Struthio camelus: one gene and its partner. The protein of the gene in region 2 interacts with the protein of the main gene of each other region in a biochemical or structural test. Links are inferred from orthologs where the notes say so. Each region holds a gene or a part of one and is shown on either strand. Other genes may lie near its edges. The genes, in order: PLEKHA1 and SNTG1.

The links.
Region 1: the proteins of SNTG1 (region 2) and PLEKHA1 form a complex in vitro, tested with the Homo sapiens proteins (2 studies listed by BioGRID and IntAct, with this or other methods). The link is inferred for Struthio camelus from reciprocal best matches to the Homo sapiens genes SNTG1 and PLEKHA1.

Annotation. Positions count from the first base shown.
Region 1 is NC_090948.1:5,749,848-5,761,189, forward strand, and holds the start of PLEKHA1 (pleckstrin homology domain-containing family A member 1), read right to left. Parts: upstream 5,163-11,342; 5' UTR 4,896-5,162; exon of another isoform or gene 4,504-4,895; intron 1-4,503. UniProt on the Homo sapiens protein: Binds specifically to phosphatidylinositol 3,4-diphosphate (PtdIns3,4P2), but not to other phosphoinositides. May recruit other proteins to the plasma membrane.
Region 2 is NC_090943.1:139,606,187-139,617,156, forward strand, and holds the start of SNTG1 (gamma-1-syntrophin), read right to left. Parts: upstream 5,554-10,970; 5' UTR 5,428-5,553; intron 4,722-5,427; exon of another isoform or gene 4,488-4,721; intron 4,440-4,487; exon of another isoform or gene 4,208-4,439; intron 1-4,207. UniProt on the Homo sapiens protein: Adapter protein that binds to and probably organizes the subcellular localization of a variety of proteins. May link various receptors to the actin cytoskeleton and the dystrophin glycoprotein complex.

The DNA of each region.
Region 1 (11,342 bases), on a different chromosome or scaffold from region 2:
AAAATTGACAGCTAAAAAGATTCAGATGTAATGCTCAGCTCAAATTAAAAACAAAGAAGAGAACAGGAACAACCACAGCTTTGCTGCTGTTCCTTGTGTGACAGGATCTTAAAACACAGAACAATTTTGCCTAGGTTAAGGTTTTTTAAACATCATTTTTATACCTTTTTTTTGAACAGTGTAGTATTCCTAAAAATTTTAAACAATTTGCTTTCTCTCTCTCTTTTTACTGATTCAAGATGCTTTCAGTCAAAACTCTTAGATGCTTTTTCCGACTTTATTCCCTCAGCATGGAACTTTCCCTAGCTCTTAACTCGTGCGCTCACTTCAACCTCTCCCTCATAACATGAGGGAACTATATGCTGCACATTACTACCACATCTGAACATATCAAAATCTCTGGCTTATCTTACTATTCCGTAGTTTCAGTATGAGAACTGAGGGACAGAGAAGCAACTTGTCCCAGGCCACACAGGCAGATTTTGGCAAGGCAGTGAGCTGAACCTGTTTCCCAAGTTCCAGAGTAGCAACCTCACCACTGAACCACCTTTCTTCTACATAAAATACCTGTAACTATTCAGATTTTCAAGGCAAAGGCATATGTTCAAACCTGAAATTGGTTTAAACTGTTGAATGCCACAAACGTCTACCAGACCTACAACTCCCTCCTTGCGCAGATAACATCTGTTAAAAGTACATGGCTCATACAGTTCTGCACCAGAAAGCTTAATAAGTTCCTTCTCCAAGATTAAAGAAACACCTACACATTCTAGATGCTTCTGCAAGTCCCTGGAGGGAGAAAACGCTGCTTAGCGTTGAGACAATGAACCAAGCTTCCTTCCTTTACAGTAACAAAATCCTGTTGCTTTACCTAGCACTAACAGGAAGGTGTTATTTATAAAACTGAGTGGTATACAAATACATATCCAAGCGTTTCACAAAGTAATGCTACAGCATATAACGGGAAGACCTTAGACTTAAAAAAAAAAAAAAAAATCCAGATTTTAAAAATCTGGATTTTGGACATCAGTATGGGAGTAGAAAATTCTTTGAAATAGCTCACCCATATCTCTCATTCCACTTTATTTCAGTCAATTTACCCATGAAGGCATACCTTCAAAACTTGAACAACTGACACTTGTTTCTCTGATCTCTCCAGTAGACAGTTTCTTAAAAATAAACTACATTTATTTCTACATATCTGGTAAACTCACCAGAATTGATATTCATGTTCCTAATGTAATTTTATAAAGCACTGAGAGCAACATTTCCAGACATGTCATGCTACAGCTAGACATAAACCGAGAGAGAGAGAGAGAGAGAGAGAGAACTGACCATTGTACCTATTGCATAATTTGTTTCCTAGTGACATCTATTTCCTCCACTTTGTAAATTACATTTTAATGCTAAAGTCAGTTACCTAAATTCCCATATTCTGGCAGTAAAGATCCATAAGTTATTATCCTCTAGTTTCAGCAATTATACAACTGCACAAATACTAATTTGGCTCCAAGCACCAGGGAATATTTTCTAAGAACATTTTCTGTTGTTCTTAATTATCAAGAAGAAAACATTTCACAAAAAAAAGACACATTCTCTTGCTTCACAAGCTATTGTTAAGTCAAACGCTGACATATAGCTGCCTATGGGAAAGTGCACACCTCCACGTGCAAGGAAACTTCTCAGTTTTAAGATGTACTCGCTCCAACACTTCTGGTTTGCTGCAATTTGAAGGAACTACATTTACTATGATAGCTGTCAGGTCTAATAACCAAGAACACTCAGTAGTAAAGATACTGATGGAATTCTAAAACTACTAAAATAGATGAAGAATTTCACAGGCCTGGCAGTTTGGGCTATGCTCAACCCTCCACTGGAGACTGTATTGTAAGTGCATTATCTGTTCACATTTCAGTAATGTCCTAAAGTTATTTTTATTGACTGTCACAAATTAGAAACTGACTTTTGCACTTCCTTTCTTTCACGCTAACATTGTGACATATAGTCAGCCTTTATTACTCCTGCTGATTAACCTCCTTGCTTTTTGAAATAAGCCACAACCACTGAGAAAAAACACAAAGCTTTTTCTTGCATTCAAGTAATTTCCTAATATACACTCTTTCCCTATTTCCAGGTTGGTCTCTGTCTAGTCTCTCTCAGTTCCTACTGCTGAGAAAGAACAAATACAGGGAGAGAAGAGGAGGAAGAGGAAGAAGCATTAAGATGCTTCCGATTTTCTTTATACATTGATTCTTTCCCCAATTACTATTTTTTTGAAAGAAAAAACTCTAAACAAAAAAACCCAGCCATCTACAGACTTTTTTTCCCATGCTTTAATTTATACAAAAGCATCTACTCTTCTGAAACATCTAAACACTGCAATATACCTCGTAAGCCACCTACTGCATATCATTTTCTTAACTTCCACTTTTGAAATGCACACCTATAGGTGTGTGAATATTAACCACGGTATATAACATATTAAATTGTAAAGATGAAGAATATTTTTAAGCCGTTTCAATTAGGAATTAACATTTCTATGCTAACAAAGTAAACTAGCAATCTTTAATAACTGCAAGCAGAACACAAGGGACTCATAAAAAGTTTTTCTACGTTTTATGCCAAGCTGTCTCCAGCAGGCCAGCACTCACTGAGATCATGCTCATAATTAGGGTATTAACCTAATTATGTAACACACAGAATAGTACCGTCTATTGAATTATCACTTTCTGCAACAACAACGCTTATTTATCCCTGAATTATAAGGCTCTTCTCCAAATATCAATCAGGTTAAGAGAGGCACTTATAAAGACAGATTTTAGTCCACTTTTAACCCAGCTAAAGTGTTAACCTTTCAACACTCACTGGTGTGACAAGCAAGAAAGGACTTTTACATTTCTCTACTTTATAGACTTGACAGAACTTCACATGCCGTTACTTGTGTGAATCTACTGACAAGGAAAAAAACAGATCTAGAAGTAGGAAACGAGACTTAGTGAAAAAGCTATGAACTGCAGGGACTTAAAAGGCAAATCCACTCTTCAAAACCCAGTGTTAAGACTTAACTAGATTGCAGTGGGTACCCTGTGAATTTATCCAGCATGGAGCTTCATGAGAACAAGTGACACAACCTAAAGAAAGAATTCTTCCTATACCTAATGGCATATATACTAAGACATTCTCAAGGACTATGGAATTCATTTAAAAGTTGTACCTGCACCTCAGTTTTGACATAAACTGACATAAGACTTCGTTATTTCCATAATAACTTTCAAAACTCAGGTACAAAAGAAAAAGAAAAGATCTGCCTTAGAAGTACAGTATAGTAAGTTTATTAAAACAGGCAGAAAAATTAAACGATCATACAGCAACCAGCTGAAGTTGCCAGGCACAGCTCCCACTCAGTAAAGACCGCGTTTGTGCTGCTTCATAGTGAACACAGCTTAAGTGTATAAAAAGGAAGTGGATAAAGAAAAAACAACAACAACCACCACCACCCTGCTAGATTCAACGATTCAAAAATGCAAAGTTATTTCTGAAATCTCATAGGCCCAAACTGTGTGATCAAATATGGCTCCATCTTCCACTACAACATACGCAATTTGTAGGCAATAAAAAAGCAGATGCAGCACAGATTACTATATGCAGAAGAACCTCATAATCTCTTTCAAAGTACCCTGCTTTTGTAGGAAGGTGAACCATGAAGAAATCCGGATCTTAAGCAGCTAAGAAAATTACTCTCTCAACTTTACTCTCAGATAAGCAATGGCCTTATCTCCATAAGGATCGACCTAACAAATTAATAACTAAACTTTTTACCCACTTGGAGATAAACTGTTCTGTTCTATTGGTTTCACTAGTGTGGTGATTAGTGAAAATTAGGCATAAATTTAAGAAACAGAGGCCTCAAAAATAGCAGCCTGTTTCCCAAAGAGAAAATGATGTCCTCTTAATGTTAACAGGCAAACGTTCCCTGCAAAAATATGCCTTTTATAAAGGCTATGCATTAATTACACCTGTGGGAACCGCAAAACACATATGATATTTAAGTCTATCTGATCAGCTAATAATCAAATGCATGTTTGGAATTTCACACGTGCTGAAAACTGTAAATATGACGAAATTAGCTACAGCTTAACAGCCGCTTATGGCCAAGTTATCCATTTAAAGACACATTGCTTCATTAACTAAGCAGCCCAGGCGACAACCAAGCAGGAACACCAACTCAAGAAGTGCAGGTTTGTATTGCAAAGGCATCAGAGAACAGCTTCCTCGAGCACGCTCTCCTCCCAACTAGTGTCCTCTACACCTAAAAAGCCAAGGAGGTGCGAGCTGTCCCGTGCCCCCCGCCCCGCCCCCGGCACCACCACCACCACCACCGGCGCTGCCCAGATAAAGATCGCTCCTTCCTGTCATGCTCAAAAGACCGAAGTTGAGAAGAAGAGGAGGAAAGTAAATAAATAAATAAAGAAATAAAGATGGGTAATGAGATCATCCTCTTACCTCTGGGGATGTGACAGAGCCGGGGAAATTATACCGCAACCTCCTGTACGCTTTCCCCCTCCCCCCTCCGCCTTGGAGAGTCCCCCACGCTCAGGCAGTTATTTCGAGAGAAAAAGGAGGGAGGGAAAATAAAAAAAAAAAATTAAAGAAAACCCAAAAAACAAAGGAAGAAGGGACAGAAAAGGCATGAAACAATTATGACGCGGGGAGCCACACAAAGGCAGAGGCGTTGGAGGGAAAGGACAGTGCCCGACTTGGTCAAACATCGAGGAAGAGAGGAAAAAAGAAAATAAATGAGGTATTTCCTCCGCCGGGCCGGATCGGACCGGACCGGACCGGACCAGACCGGGCGGGTCTGTCCCGTCGCCCCCGGCCGGGGCCGAGGCACTTACTGGAGTCCAGGGCAGGTCCGGGGAGCCCCCGTGAGGAGAGCCGGGCCGCGCGGGCACCGCCGCCGCCTCCCGCCGCGCTCCCGGCCCACGGCGCGACACGACGCGACGCGACACGGCGCGACACGACGCAGCGAGCGGGCGGGAAAGCGGCCTCGGCCCCCTCTGAAGAAACTTTGCCGCCTGCCCCTGCCGCCGCCGCCGCCGCCGCCGCCGCCGCCACCACACCGCCCAGGCCCCCGCCCCGCCGCGCGCATGCGCCACAACCCCGCCTCCTGGGCGGCACCATGCGGCCGCCGTACCGCCCCGCCGCAGGGCCTCCTGGGAGGTGTAGTGCGGCGGCCGCTAGGCGCGGCCCCGCGGAGCAAAGCATGGCGGGAGTTGTAGTCCCGGGGAGGCGGGCGGCGGGGCCTGGCGGCGCGGGAGGCCCGGGGCGGGGGAGCAGACGAAGTGCCTTTGTGGCGGTGCAGCAGCACTGAGGCAGCGACAGTCCCCCGCGGGACGGCTGGTGCTTCGTGGCACCTCCAGGAGGGCCGCTTGGCCCCTGGGTCGGGTGCGGTAACCCGCCCGCCGGAGCTGGTGCGCTCGGCTTTTGAGTGCTGCCACCAACGCTAGCGCGACCTGCCTCCGGCGTCATTTTCAACATCGACTCGTTCCCTAGACCTAGCGCTCCGAAAAGAGGCCAATAGTTTATATCCGCTTAGGTCTAGTACCATTAAAATGCTGGTGGTGACTTTGTCATTAAACACGTCAGTAAACAAACTTGTCCCTGCTGGGACGAGTAGAGCCGGCGTGGGTGTCACTGGAGTCAGATGGCCGTCCGGGCGCCGGGGCCTCGGCCAGCGCTGGGGTCACGACGGGGAGCGGGCTAACGGCTTCGGCGCTGCCCGAGTCCGAAAACCAAACTCCCAAAGCGCACGCGACTGAAATGAGTGCGCGCGGTGGCTCCTTCTGCCGCAGGGGTTGGATAACTATTCATCCTGAGCGCAGGGCCTGTAGGAGAATAACGTAAGGCAGTCACACCTACTACAAAATCGTTAAGAGTTTGCGATACTGATAAACGGCTGGCTTCTCTCCTGTGATTTAATGGTAACGTTTAGGTAGCCCTAGCACCTAGAAGGCTCAGCTAGGTCAGACCCCTCTGCAGAAGGAACTGTCGGTAACGTAGCAGAGCAGTAAGAGATTTAGTTTCCTGTTTTTTTTTTTTTTTCATGCTCGTGAGCTTAATTCATATGGAGACCTTACTACGAGCTCTTTCAGAGCATAGTTAGCAGCAACCAGTAGTTACGCTACTTAGTACTGTAAATACCTTTTTTTTAGTCTTCTAAACGGCAGTGAATAAATCCTCCATCCTCTAAACAAAGAGGTGAAGCACCTGTTTAAAACAATTATGGAGCAACAGGGAGGTGATACACTATATGTGTTTAGTTTTGTGGCCAGCAATACGCATTGATGTCTCTCACAAGAGAGACATTCCTTTCACAGGATAGAAATCAGCAGTCACTGGCTCCTGTGGTTAGAAATGCTATAAATAATATTGACAGCATTTTGTGAGGGGGGAATCCAGGCAAGGAAAATGCAAGGCTTCAGCATCAGGTGCAATGGTGTACTGACCTCCATCTGCTTTGGACCAGACTCTCTAAGAGTCCAAGAGTTCATGCAGCTAAAAGGCTGTTTTCAAATTAATGTATAAGCCATACACGGGGTAAAGTAGCAGCTACCAACAATAACACAAATACTTTTTATAAGGCTTATAACAATTTTCTATGGATTTGTTTGAACATGAAGTTAATTTGATTTTTATATTAAATTTAATGGAGAGAGATCTGAAGAAAAGGAATGAACACCTTGGAAGTATGGAGACTCTGTTCCTCTATACCTGTCTTCTTCCAGAAGACTTATTAGTTAAGACAGCTTTCTGCAGCCATCGTGCTCATAGTGGCCTACAAAAATGTCTAGGAATGGTATTTAACCATTTCTGAACATACGTAGTTCACTATTAAAAACGAATAGTAAATTTATACTAAAATATTTAGTGTTTTTCAAAATAGTAATAGAGAAAATCTTCTTCCTAGCTTAAAGCAGTGATATCTCTAAAATAGAATTTATTTGAACTTAGATGTTGCATGTAAATACATCTTTGTTCCAAGGTGCTATTTAATAACGGTACTTTACAATGAAACACAAGCTGTAATGAGAGTACAACAATCAAAGTTGGAGTCAGCTATGAACAATGCTTTACGATTTCCATCGTAACTTTTTCCTATCACATCCTTCATAGGTCACACACTCTGCAGCTGTGTGAGCTAGAAGCTTTTCAGTCTGTACTCCATTCACAATTATTCATACATTTTTGAAGATTTTTTTGAAGATAACAGTGCTTTACTGGAGTTAATATAAGACAATAGACAGTAGCCGGCCTGATGCTGTCCCTCCTCCGCTTAGGACCTGATTTGACATTTCTGGTACTCACAGAACTATCATGATTGTGGTAATTCATAAAAGGACTACAGGATGTGGCCTGCCGTTGCACTGTGCACGGAAAGGGCCTTTTGCAAAAAATGATAGGAGGCCGTGCGATCAAAAGCCATTTCATAACATGTGCAGAATGAAAACGGCATAGCATTCTACAGTTTGGAATGTCTTAACTTTCAAGTACTTTCTCCAACCTCCCAAGGAAGTTTTCAATATCAGAATATATTGTGATAATGTGATTTAGGAAAGGGGGGGGAAATATTACATTTAAAAGGGGGATATATAGTATTAGACTCTAGTAGGAAACTTCATATTTAGGATAGCATATGTTGCATGATGGAAGACTATTACAGTCTTCCTTTTCAGAAGCCCTATCTCTTCTGGTGTTTACAGTCTAGTTAGGAGAAAATCATATATATAAAGACATGTCTTTGCTTAAACTGAGATACAAACTTTTAAAAAATAGCCAAATGCCTTATATCAGGTGCACTGTCCACAAAAGTACCAGAATATGCATATGGACATTCTGCTTTGTGGAATCAAGAGATAAAGAGCTCATCTGTGGACGAGTGTGAGATGGAAAAGCCAAATGTCACCTACACCCATCCCTGTGTACTGAGCATGTAATTCTGTTTGCACATATCCTCTCCCCAGACATGTAGACTTTTGAATGCTTTTAAAATTGACTCTAAACCTTTTTGTATTTCATCCCTGTAACATTCAAGGAAATATTTTTATAGCAATGGCTAACTGCTTTCCTGAAATGCATCACTTTGGAGCTGTGTTTAGAATGTGTGTATATTGATCTCTATGCTTACCATAAATTTGGTAACATCCGGTCAATAATAAAAAGCCTTCAAGTCAGCGACTGTGCGTCAGATCCTTGAAGTCAGTATCATTGTGCTGATTTAAAACAAGCTCATACCTTGCTCAGCATTTTCTTGTTTGTGAACATTTAATCCAATGGGTACAAGTGCAAAGTACCTACTGGGAGTCTCTATACCTACTGTAAAATAAACATGAACTATTACAGTAATAACTCAGACCTCCTTGAGTAATCATTTTCCTGTTGACATAATCACTGAGTTTATTTTTTTCTCTCCCCATTGCATTGGGACTGCTGTTTATTTCTTCCTCCCTACATACTACCAGGCTGATGACATGTCCTTCTCAGCTTCTGAGAGTGTTGTGCAGATACACCAGACTGATCCTGCTCAGGGCTAGTGCAGGTCCAGCAGAGTGGCTTCACCCCATCTATAACATACTACGTGGGTCAGGCTTACTTTGCTAGTGGGGAACCTCTGCCATAGTTCTTCAAGGTACTGACGATGGCTCCCCGAGATAACAAAGCCTACCTTTAAAGCTTCCCTAAATTGGAAGATCTTTTCTTTTGGCTAGACTTTTGGTGGAGATTACGGTATTTTGCCATGGTGGGGATCACCAGCAACTCGCAGTGACTTCATCTGGGTGTGAGCGTAATGTAGTGTAGTGAACACTTTTGAAAATAATTACCTGGTTCATTCTGCTTGTACCCAGATTCAAAGTACTAGAAGCCACCTGATGCCCTGAAGGACTAGATGAAAAAGTTATATCTGATGATTCTTGTGTGGAATTTTGGCCATGAGAAGAAGTACTCATGCAGCACCTGATCCCTGAAGTGCAGAGGCTCTAACATACCTGTTTGAACTGCAACGGGACTGAGCCCAAGCTCACAGTTTTTAATAAGTCCTTTTAACTTTACCCGCTGTTTTCACATTGTGATTATAAAGGATCAGAAGAGATCAAGAAGAATGAAGGCAAAGATTCTTTTCCCCATGAGTTACACGCATTGTGCAGGTGGTCACAACAGGGTGTATCTCCAAACTAAACCATTTAAGTATCAGTCTTTGATGTCAAAGACCACACCATGTGTACAGAAACCTAAATATAGTCATCTCTAATCCTCTATTTAAAGCAAGACTTCCTTTCAGTAGGAAGTTTCTGATTGTGTCAGTGTTACGGTATTGTACAGTACACTACTGGTATACAAATTACTGAGAGCTCAGCTGAGCTCATAGACCTAGAGGCCATTCAATATTTTGATGATTCTTTTCTATGAAGTATGCAAATTTAATGGAAAAAAGAAACTGTAGCATCAAAGTAAACAGGTAAACTTCAGATATGAAGTGATTCTATCACAGGTGGATATTTTCCAGTTATTGCAACATCAAGTTTATGTGCAAAGATTAGGAAGAATAGGATCTATATTTTTACCTACCCTGAAACTTCTAGAAATTTTCAAGAGTAAAGTCTGCGCTGGCTTATGCCACATGCAATGCTATTGACTTCAATTTAGAAATTGGCTCAGAGCCCGGTATATTCCAGTAGAATTGTAAGACAGGCACTTATTTCCTCTCCAGCTGTCTCTATTCATAGTCTTCAAAAGCTGGCAGGTACTCTAACAGCGGTCTTAATGCTTGTGAAAAAATATTGACAGACTCCTTTTGTACTGATCTTTTACTCAGAAGTTGTTTGTGATTCTTGTCACTGAAATGGAAAGCGGGTTTCCAGTTACTCAAAATGAAGCCTATAATAAATAACATTTGTTTAGTGGCCTGCGTTATTATGCACCTGTAAGAAGAAGCACATGGATTGACAGATATAGAACCATATGTACTTTTGTTTTCTAAGCTCACAGTTTTTCCTCCTCTGAAGTTTCTTTATTCCATCTGTAGATTTTAGGGGTCCTTTCCTATTTTTCAGGGTTATGTTATTCTCTAAAACCCCAGTTTTAACTGTCATCTTTGCTTAGAACAGGATTTTGTTTCGCTTGGAAGGAGACTTGCTATGCAGTAGCAGGTAAAGGTCTGCCCGTTCCATTCTTTCAAACCATTATGTTTCCTTGAGTCACTCCACCATTATTACGTCAATACGTCTGGCTGGTGGACATTTATTCTAGGTAAAGAACGTTGTGTTATCTCTGTCACTTCCACTCTTTGGGCTAAGGAGAATACAGAGCCTTAAACCAAGAGCTTTATGATTAAAGCTCTGCTGCTTAGTAAATAGATTCAAACACTATCCTTGGGTGAGGAAGATTTATTGAAGTCCAGACATATGTCATTCTCCTAAAAATCAAAGTAGCAGGACTGATCTAAATATTACTTTCCTCTTTTACACAAGGCTATTTTTGACAAGAGTAAAGAAATTACAGCTTTCAAGGGAAGTTTGCTGGAAGATCTCATTCTGATGTTACAGTCTTTTTACAGCAGTGCCATTCCATTTAGTTCAAGTCATGTTGTTCATGACTTACAAGTGCGATCAGTCAGACGGTATGAGTGAATGCTCCAGGCTGCTTGTACCATGCAAAGCCGTTAAACCCCCATATTCACCTGAGTGAGTCCCAACCCAAGTCATGACCCCTGAAGAGCTGCCACAAATTCTGCCACTCCCTTTGAATCAGCCTGCAGTCAGAACAATAACATAATGGTTTAATGTGCCCACTGATCTATACAGTGCTTCTGTATTTAAAAAAATAAGGGTATTTTATATTAATATAATTTCCTATATTTTTCTCATACTTAATTGACACATATCCCACACTGTTATCCATATGTTTAACTGTAACGCAATGTACTAGTGAAGTGTTTATTTCAGAAGGTATGAAAACTTCTAGTAGAACATACAGTTATTAATACCAAAAGAAGCGACATATTTACACATATACACAAATATACATTTTTTTTTTTACATATATATATGCATCACATATCCTGGCAATGAAACAGAAACGTTCAGCAATGCCAAAATATCATGATTCTTAACTTTTCTAATTGTATTTTCAGGATGGAAAATTTTTTCCAGCAGCGGAAGTTCAGCAACTTTATGCATACACAGAAATAAAGAACTATGAACAAAACCTCACTTCATTGCTATGAAGGAATTATTCTGCCTTAGACAAAACGTTTTTGTTAAAACTAACAGTTATGTTACAGTGGA
Region 2 (10,970 bases):
AAAAAGCTAGTAAATTGCCTGCTATTTGAAACAAGATGTTGAGACTGAACAAAAAATTGTAATAAACCCAAAGTTCAGAATAATCTTACAAATAAATTGTTGCTTCTTTGCTAACATTATCTCAGAAGTTCCACGCAATGAACACTTTGGAAGCGCTTAATGTCATCAGCTTTAAAGGTGTGAACCAAACCTTTGAACCAAAATCTCACCCAATGAGTCAGGAATACCCATATCTAACAAGAAGTAAAAAATTCCAACAATCTAGATATTATATAAAGATTATAACTATCTGCAGAATAATCAATTGAGCCAACAATCAATTGCACTCATGGCAACTCTGAAACCATGAGCTCTTTCGCAGATGCTGTATCAACATAAGTATTAAAGCATTAAACCATCATCCATCTCCTTTCCCTCCACCACATGTCACATAGGACTTTCAGTAGTCATTGAAACGAACTGTGTTGAGCACCAGTTTCAGCATTTAGCTCTGTTGCAGGGCTTGTGCTGTTCAGGGTAGGGTCAGTTCTTCCCTCACAACAAAATGGACGTGTGGTGTTCAGCTCCTGGCATGGGAGACCTCCTGCTTTATAGTGAAAGGCCACAGCACAGCCCTACACAAACTACCCGGTCCTTTACCACTGAAGTCATTCTGAATACCTGAGAAGGGCAGCAAACCTTATCCAACAATATCATTTAACCACGTTTTGGTCTTATATGCAAAACGTCATCTTTTAGAACAATTACACTTATGTAACTCGTATCAACTATTACTCTCATGATATTATTAAAGTAAAGAACTTTCTTGTCCAATGCTACCAAATGTTAACTGGAGAACATGTCATGAAACTAAACTTATCCCAAACACTTATTTTTTTCTTAATTATTATTATCATTCTCTATCGATTACTTTAATAAATCAATGGGATCAAGTCCTCAAGAAACAACCCAGCCTCTGGCTCCTGTACTTCGAGACTCTCATCATGCAAGTGAGCGCTCCACCACTTTTTGCCAACTCAAGCTAATTATTGAAGACAAAAGTTCAGAGTGCCAAATGAGTGACAGGTACATCTGAAGTGCAGAGTATAAAAACATAGAAAGTTTTGTTTCTGTATTACATAGCTCCTCTTCTTCATAAAGAGTAGACGCATCACTCACTAAATCCTTCCCTCTAGATGGATTATTCCTCCCTTTGAAAATTAAATATTCATGCAAATTTCACTGACAGTGCCTCCATTACATTTGCTCCTGTTGGTTCCAGTTGTATCTTTGAGATATGATCTATACTCTCCCCCCCATCCCCCAATACATGTGCTTTCTCTCCTTCATCTGACCTGGAATAGAAAGGCAGAAAATTTAGGCTGGCCACAATGACAGTAAGGCTTTCTGACTCTTCCAGTTACGGAAGGTAAAACTCAGGGCAAATACAGAAAGTCAGGTGTGTAACCATGCTGAGATGATGTCACCTCAGACTGTCAGACGTATGCGTTGATGCAGCAGACAAACTGGGATTCAGCCTATCTAATCCTCTCTCTGGTAACCTGAACTGAAAGTACAGCCATGAGAAGGGATAAGAAAGACTATACATTAAATCCATTTGACACTTCTTACTTGCTACCACTTCTTACCTTTTTAAACAATGTATGCAAGCAAAGGTGGTGATGACTAGCCTTTGACAGTATCACAGTTTTCCCAGTAGCTCAGCCACAAAGACCAGTACTAAATTACGAGCATGAAGAAATGGTACTTATTCAAGCACTTCAGAGTGAAGAAGAGTCAAGAACAGACTACTTTTTTAATATTTGATTGAAGATGAATGAATAGTGACTCAGACAACTCTGTTGTACTGACTGGACAGCTTGACATATTTTGTCAATTCATGAAGGTTATATCTGGCAAGCCAAACAGCATGCCTGAGCAGATATAACAAAATTAGCAAAGGAATGCAATCTGTAAGCTTGCCCTGGACTTTCTAAATCAAATCAACATCTTCTCTATTAATTTGCATAGTATAAAAATAAAAATACATGCCATAAAGTTGAATATAGTGTATTTTGGCAATCTCCGATACAAAAGATACAAGTAAACTAGGATACAGAACATGAAAGAAAATACTAGAATAGCCTTACAGTAAGCAAGTTCTTTCCTTAAAGAACTCAGGTATTTCTTTCCCCTTTCTTTTCAAATTTTCAACAGAAAAAGAAATGTTTCTTTCTTCTACCAGACTCAGTGAAAACTCAGTTCTTTGGCCATAAAGCAGAATGAAAAACTGGCTATAGGTGAAAGGCTAGAGCAGCATGTTCTTTAATTCAGTGACAAGGACCTTCATTGGATTATCTCATAGCTATGGGACAAGATACTGCAAAAGCCAAATGATGCATCATTAAATTATGTTTTCTTCTTCTCCAGGCAAAGACAGAGTATAGCATTAGATTAGTTTGAAGGACTAAGAAGAAAAGGAAGAAAAGGGCTCTGTAACTTGCATCAGAACCGGCAAAGCTGATATAATTTTCAAAAACCACTTATCTGTATAATCAGGTATAAGCAGTTACTTATGTTAATTTTGTAAACCATCAATGTAATGTATAGCCCCAATGAATTCCAGCTCAGTGCATGCGTCAGTGTTTTATGATCTCTCTTGCACACACTTAGTGAAAGCCTGCCACTCTGCAACAGAGAAAGGAATTACTACAATAAGTCCATAGCTACACTTTGATAAAAGATACAGATTTTTTTGATAAGCCGCAAAAAGAAGCTGAATGCTTTAAATAATGGACAGGTTTGTGCCCCAGTGTCTAGCAACAGTTATTTTAATTGCTTTTCACAGTATCTTCACAGTCAGGAATATGAACCACAACAAAGCTCTCCTGAAACTGCACTGAAACAAAGTGACATTCCTCTCAGACTGCTTACCCACAGTGAACTTCATCCACTATTATGGGAAAGGCTTACTTTTTGCTATAAACTTGAGTTAGTTGCACCTTCAAGCGTAACTCGTTCAAGTTACACGTTCAGTACTGCCAACTCAATGCCTTTTAATCCTATTATGTTAACTCCGCATTCATGTAAAGTGTGTGTTTCAGTCCATAAGAAGATCCCTTCCTTACAGCTTCCCAGCCAACAAGTGCAGGCAAATCAAAGTGCATTAACCTGGGAAGCTCTGAGCACCCCCCACTACCCCCCCCACACACACTTTTTGCCAGAGTTCTCTTCGATTAGAGAAGAAAATATCCAAAACTCAACAAACATTTCACACACCTTGATATTTCTGCAGGAGCATATGCTTCCAACATTGCACCTTATACTTTTATCACTATCACAGAGTTATTTCCGCAAGTCCACTCACTCATAATGCCCAGTGTCTCTGCTGAAACTAGGATGTTCACTGGAACTGAGTTCTTAGTGAAATGCTAGAGCTCAGCTATAAATCTGTGTAACTCCTTTTATTCTGTGATGCTTTCATGTTAGACCAGGATGTACATCAAGGTTACTGTAAAAGATTGTCATTTTTAGACTCATAGAGAAGACACCAAGGAAATCAATAAGAGAAAACTTAATTAAACACAGTCTGAAGTTTTGTCTTCTCCCAAACCTGTCCAGAATTCACTTTATGAATCCTCTTTATCCCCTACCTTTCAGAGACAGATGTTTCATAGAGAGGAGCAGGCAGGTTGGTTAGCTCATACACTATGCGTGCTGAAAGGTGACCAGGAGAATTCATTCTTTTCAGCGTGACTACCCTGTTTAGAGATCTTTGAGTTTTTAGCAAGAGATTACAGCCCTATGGGTCTGCTCCTTCAAAGCGGAGTTCCTCCAAGAGCAGAATTAGTCCCGTGTCTGCTCTACGTGCTGAGATATACTGAAATCAACTTTTTGTTTCACAGCAATAACAAGTAGAGCAATAAAAATCCATGTGCTAAAGCAAACAAACAAAGCTGGAGAAACCACATCCTCACAGCAACAGCATCTCAGAGAAAAAGAAAATCACCAGGCAGGACACAAGAAAGTAAAGGCATAAAAATCAAAACTCTCTAGGTTCACTATTTTAACCCATAGATGGGTATGAAATATGCTTACACACATACCCTGCCTCTCTCCTCCAAGAGCCACTGCTGGAAAGCAATAAAGGGACTCCTGCAATTAAGTTATAGCCTAGCACAAAGCAGAAGACATTTTATATTAGCACATATAATGCATCATTTCTTACAGGTGCAGAAGTGGGCAGCACAGGATTACTACAGCGCTGCGCTTTACCGCTTGTGCACGCCAAGTCCTGCACCGTACGGCTGCCCTCGTCGTACTTCGCCGGAGTTGGACCGGGCGCCGCTGCGACCTCGACCACAAACCTCCCGCACCGACACGCCGGAGAGCCAAAACTGCAGCTGGGGCCGCTGCCTCCAAAACCGCGAGTAAGAAACCCAAAGCTGCAAAAAAGTCACTGGAGATGACGTTCATGCAGCGCAAGGACAACAAAAAACGACACTCACTTGCCTGTGTGCTCCCGCCGGGCGACCTCCTCTCGGCTGGCGAAACGCAGAGCCGCTCGCCCTCCTCGGACCTCTCCGAGCGATTTCCAAAATATTTCCCAAAAGGCCGGGGCATCTCCGGGCTCAGCCGGAGCGCGCAGGGAGCCCGGCCGGCGCGCCCCCGACCCGGCCGCCCATGGTCTCCGCCGCAGCCCCCGGCCAGTCGCGCTCGGATGCCCGCGGCGTCGCCTCGCGGCCGCTAGCGCCGCATCTCACCCGGCCGCCGCCGCGCCGGCGGCAGCGAGGGGGCTCCCCGCGCCCTTGGCGGAGACGGCGCGGGGGCACCGGGCGGGGGAGCGCGGCTAGGCAGCGCCGCCCCTCCGCGGCCGAGAGCGCCCAGGCGCGGCGCGGCGAGGCGAAGAGGCGCCGCCAGCGCGGCCGCAGCCCGGCGCGGCGATGCCCGCCCTCGGGACCCCCCCCCAACCCCACCCCACCCCCGGCGCTCCGAAACACCGCCCCGGGGCCGCCCCCAGCAAAGCCGGCGAGCCGCGGCCCTGCCGGCGGCAGAGCGGGCCGCTACGCTCCGCGCCGCGCCGCAAGTAGAGGCAGCACAGGGGGCGGCTGCGCGGGGCACCGCGGGGAAAGTGCGGTCCTCCTCCCTCCCCCCACCCCGCTCCCTCCGCCGGCCCCCGCGCTGCCGAAACGCAGTCCCCCCCCGGTCACGGCTTATCCCTCTGCCCCCCTGTGAGTTCTCAGTGAGGAGAAATTCTGCCTTGCCCAGGCAGAAAAGTTTTTTGACCTCCGCCTTATTATGCCCCTCTTCTTGCTGAACTTCACTGGATGCGGTTTCTCCTCACTGTGCGAGTGGGTATATATTGATCGCTTGCCAGACGGAAAATATAACATATCAACCCCCTTATTTAGAAGCAGTTATGTGTGCGGTTTATTTTGACAGACTCACTTGAAGCGGCAGAGTCGTTTTCTTTTTAGATGCTACCATCTTCCCTCGGTCAAGTAATCCCTCCTAATCTGCCAGCCTCTAATTTTGGGCTATGTCGCTTGGGTTTTGTCGCTCTCCCACCTGCTAAGGGAACGATGCCCTGCTTAATTTTTCACCAAATGAAGACATGAGAAACGAGCGAGAACGCGTCCCCGCTCCGCAGCGCGCGGGGGCGGGCGGCGCCCAGCGCTCCCCAGCTGGGAAGGGGGCGTCGGAGGCGGCGGCGGGGCCGCGTCCCGCCCCTGCAGCCTGCCCGGCCGCCGCCGGGCGGAGAGCTGCCAGCGGCACCTGGGGGCCCGCAGCCCCCCGCGGGGTTGGCAGCTCCCTGCAAGCTGGTTTTGCGGGGCGGCGCAGGGGGGAGCAAGTGGGAGAGCACGGCTTCCCCCCCACACACACCGTGTCCGGGCTGCCTCGGCATCCCCTTGTCCTGGAGCCACGGTCAACGGGTCATCTAATTTTGTTTCAACAGAGGAGTTGGAAGTTAAAGTGGCTAAAACATGGCAGCAAGCAGGGTCCGTGCTGGGTTTGGGGCGGGGGGGGGGGGGGGACAAAAAAGGAGGAGGGACAGGCGAAAGAGGGAGGGAGGGAAGAATAAACCACTTGGTGTCTGTGTTGGACATCGAGTATCACTGAGAGGCCAAAGCCTTTCTGGATCCAGAGGATGCGGGTTTCTGCAGCGCTGCTGTGCCAGGACTGCAGGGACGAGGGAGGGGGCTGATGCCTGGGCTCCTTCCTCCACAGGGAGCCAGGACCTGGGGCTTCTCGGGAGGGAGCCGGGCGCACCCCGGCGCAGCACCCCCGGCAAGCAGCAGGTGGCAAAGGGGGCTGCTCCACCCCGCATCCCTAAATCCCCTGCGCACCCGCAGCCCTGCGCTTTCGCACTTGCTTATCTCCAACAGCTGGCAAGCAGCCCCGCAGCCGGAGCTCACTGAGACCGTACAGCAGTCACCCCACCCGTCGGAGAGTGCTGAAATGATATAGCATAACGTGGCAGATCATATATATATAGGCATATATGCGCGCCCTGTGGTGTATTATACGCACGTATACGTCTGCGCTGCCAGTGCGGGGGAGCCGGGCCCGCGGGGTGGGGGCCGCCAGCCACCGACCCGCCTTTGCAAAGGCTGTGGGGGTGGAGGAAAATTAAAACGGGAGGAAAGAGAGCGCCGCGGGGCCCCTCGCAGACGCAGCCGTCCCTTAACCGCCTGCTTCCCTCACGCCGGTTTTGGGGAGCAGCAAGCTCCTCCTGCCCCCCCCCCCCCGGTGGCCTCGGGGGAGCCCGGGGCGCCGCGCCTGGGGGCTCGCGGGGGCTCCGCTCCGCTCTGCTCGGCGGGACGGGGCCGCGCGGAGCTGACTCGTTTCATCCCACCGACGCTATGTGGAGCTACGAAAGCAGGGAAAAAAAAAAAAAATAAATCCCACGGTTTAAAGTGGCAGCGTCGGGTGCAGCCGAGGGACCCTCTTCTGCGTCTAAGTTTGGCCCCCAGAGCGGGCCAGGCTGGTTGTTGTCGCTAGATTGCCTTATCCGTATCCTCTGGGCCCCGTTTTAGCTCTTGGAAATGTTATTCTTTAGTCAAGCAGAGATTTTCAGGGAGGGTGATCAAAATTACACGTCCAGTGAAAGCAGATTTAGCTTTGCTTCTGTGTAGCTCCTCTTCGAGCATTTTTCCTCCATACAGTTGTTTAGGCTTCTTAGAGTGAAAAGTTATTTTTTCTACATTTTATGGTTAAAAAGTCTTCTTCTGCCAAGCTGGGGCAAACAAAAATCTTTTTGTTCCTTATGAATTCCTTTTATAAATATTAACTTCAGTAATGTGCAGTGAGCTATTCAGGGGGAAAAGATTTTAAAAAGACAGCTCCATACAAGCTAAATGTAAAGATAATAGAGTTGCTCTGAAGAGTGCAGCTGATAAATGCATAAGAATATGCAGTGATGGATTTCATGGCTAATGGAACAGATTTGTACTTGGGTCCTCATCTAGAGATACAGATTCTTGTTTTTCCCTATTTCTTAATAATGATTGATGTTAACAGACTTCTTGATAGCTACAAGCTAACCAAGCTATCTGTCCTATTCCGGTTCTACCGCAGATTGAATGGTTTGAACAGGTAGTTCTCCTGACAAGACTGAAAAAATAAATGATTGCAACTATATATATTACCATCCAAGTCCTAATACATGTATCTCTCAGAATTGAAATAATGAGTGAAATTTAGTGAACTGAAAACTCGTCTGAGTCAAACACAGAAGTAAAGCAGAAGTGCAGCCATCCTTGCTCTTGCTTTGTTGAGAAAGGCCTCAGAGCACAGTTTTTAAATAAAGTGGATATGAATGATCCTTCACAATCTCTTAACTACCCTGGCTGGAGCAAATACTACTTGTTGGGATAGCTCTGATGCAGTTCCAACGGTGACAGCCTCAGCTGTTGAAATCACCTTTCCTTAAAACTCGCAAGCCTGGATATAGATTAATCAATACATGCCATATTCCTCCTAGCTGTAGGAAGAACTGTCATCTCTAACAGAGACCTGTTACCTTTCTTTTATGTGAAGATGAAGAGTAGAGTGATACTCTTGCTTATGTAAGCAAGACAGTTTTATTTTCACAAGAGAAAGTTATCGCAATTTTTGCTGCAAGAGCTTTCAAGCTCTTCCCATGCTTGTTAAAACATGCATATCTCAGTTAAAAGTTTTATTAGCATTAAGAATATGCTGAAGATAAACTCTACCAAAGCAGATGAAAAGTGTGCAATTTTTAAAAACATTATCAGGCAGATTTCACATGATTGTATGAAGTATGTGTGACTATCAGTTTTACATAATATTAGAAGATTAGTATTGTATTACATTTTTGCTTCAGGCAGCACAAACACAGCATAGGATTCTTACATACACAAAATTCATATTTCATACAGGTTTAGAAAGTAATCAAGAACATGAGTCAACATTTAAAGTCAGATTGGGAGACCCAGAAGGGTTTTTGTGTAGTTACTGGCAGTGTTTACTAGAAAATATTACATGGTATGACATAAACTAGTGGTAGCTTCTGCTGCAGATTGTGCAGCTTTAGCCAACTGGCACCATTCAAGGTGTCCATCAGGGATGAGGTGACAGAGGAGTAAGAGAGTTAAAATGGAGGAAATAAAAGATAAAGATGAAGAGCAAATTGTATTGGCTAAAAGATGTGGGGGTGGAGGGAAGGATGTCACTCAACAAGAAAGTCGTGACATCCTTTGTAGAACAGTACTGACTATCTATCTATGAGCAGCTATTTGTCCTCTTTCTCCTAAGCAGAACCCAATCTTTCTGGTTACAGGATATTTCACTCTGATTGTGGGCAGTGATTCTGACATCTGGCAGCCAGACGTTTGTGTCTATATCTGTGGCATGTAACTCCTCACTGTGAAAGAGCTGGGAAGTGAACAAGAAAGAACTAAGGGCCTGAAAAAGAAGTTACAGGCGCATCATTATATCAGGAAAAAAAAAAGAGAGACCTTTATCCAAAACCAGTGCAAGTTAGGGGGCATCCATTCATGTAGCAAGTCCTAGCAGGTCTGCTAAAACATCCATGGCTAGCCACCATTATATGCTCTTTCCTTGACAGAACTTAGCTCTTTATCAGTTTGAAGCCATCAGCTGTATCAAATACATTCCAGTCTGTAAATGAAGGCAAGGTATTCCCCCATTTTGAGCATGAAAATCTGAAACTGAAACTGAGGCATGGGTGCTGTTCATTTAGAAGCAGCTTTGGTTTTAGTCACAAAGTATCTTAAATAGACCCCAAAATTTCTTAGAAAGTATCAGTTTTTATTTATTCACATGAAAATAAATACTCAATAAAAAGATATTACCAGCCTATAAGAAGATCTCATTAAGCAGAATATCAAAAGGCAAATTGAAGTGAAACTCACAGCATTGATGAGATTTTCTTTTTCCATCAGAATAGAATTAATATATTTTCAATATCCACTTCCGGAAAAAGATATGGCTGTTGTAATTCCCTCAAGAATGGGTATAACATGCTATATAATAAGTAGGTCACAAGGCCATCTATGAGCATCAAGCTCCTGGTACTCCCTATATTGCAGTAGAAATTTAGAGAAAATTTCCAGTTTCTGATGAGTTAATATTATTTTTAAATTCTACTCATAGACTAGTATTAATTCACCCAGTTTAGTCCAGAAAAGGCTATGAACATATTCCTTCTTGTTCCCCCGCAACTAGATTAAACTAAACTCCAAGAAAATATGGAAAGTGATGTACCAGTATCTGGCACACTTATATAAAATAGTGTGTCATTTGTCACCATGGCTTGTAATCTTAAAATCTGACTGGAGGAATGGTGGAGACCAAAATAGCCTTTATGTTCTGTGGGTGGCCAGAAAACTGCAGCTATATTCTATAATATTCCTTGCTGCCATGATTTGTTTCTCAAGAGCTCCTGTGAATCCGTTTAAAACTCAAACTCATGTAGGCCCAGACAGAGACATGGGTTTTGTTCTGACTGCAACTCATTAAAATCCCTCTTTGTACATGTAAACAGGATATTAGCAATTCCATATGAATATTTCTTTAAAATTCTGAGCTTTTCAAATAATCCCAAAGCTTGGAGAATTTAAACCCACATATGTTGAAACCAAATAGCAGAAAACCTCAAAGAAGCTGTGAAGTTCATAGCCTTAAACTCTTTCCTTAATCCCAAATTTTATAGGCCGTCTCTACATCATGTTCAGTACTGTTATTATTTATGCCAGTCTATAATTGGCAGGCATCTGATGAATGATTATTTTTAACCTATAAGAGAATTTCGATAACATTGTAACGAAGGATTTTAACCAGTTTTAGGGAAATTATCTGTTATCTATCTTAGTAATTAATTTATTATAATCAATTATCACAAATTAGAAAGGACAAGTGACAATTCACAGGCTATAATTAGTCACATCTAAGAAAATTATCAATTTCATTTTTCTGTATTATCCTCACTACAAAAACGTATCTCAGTATTATTCCAATTATCCTATTTCTTCACCAAAAGAAGATAAAATTACCCTCTGTGCACTTAAAAATTAATTTTACACATTGCAAACTTCAAAACTGTTTTTCCATTTGGAAACCAAATAAGTGATAAAATGCATGTATCCTTTAAAAACAACTAACTTAACAGTTTTATTTCTATTAGCTTCGTGGTGTTTAAAGTGGTAGTTAAAAGATGTGGTAGTGGAATTCAAATATGGAATGTCATCTGCAAATAATATAATGGATTATACTATTTTGAAGTGAAACTGACAGCGTGTGAGTTTCTATGTGGCTACAACCATAGCTTATAAAATGAGCACTATGTTCCTGGAATTAAAGGAAGTGTTGGTGAACACCTGAGACAGTTTCTGTGGGTGGAATTAAAATCACAATTTTGCCCAAAAGTTGCAAAATGAACCACTCTGCAAAAAGGTAAACAGACTTATGTGAAAAATTATGGATGTTATAGGTAATCTCTGATAGAT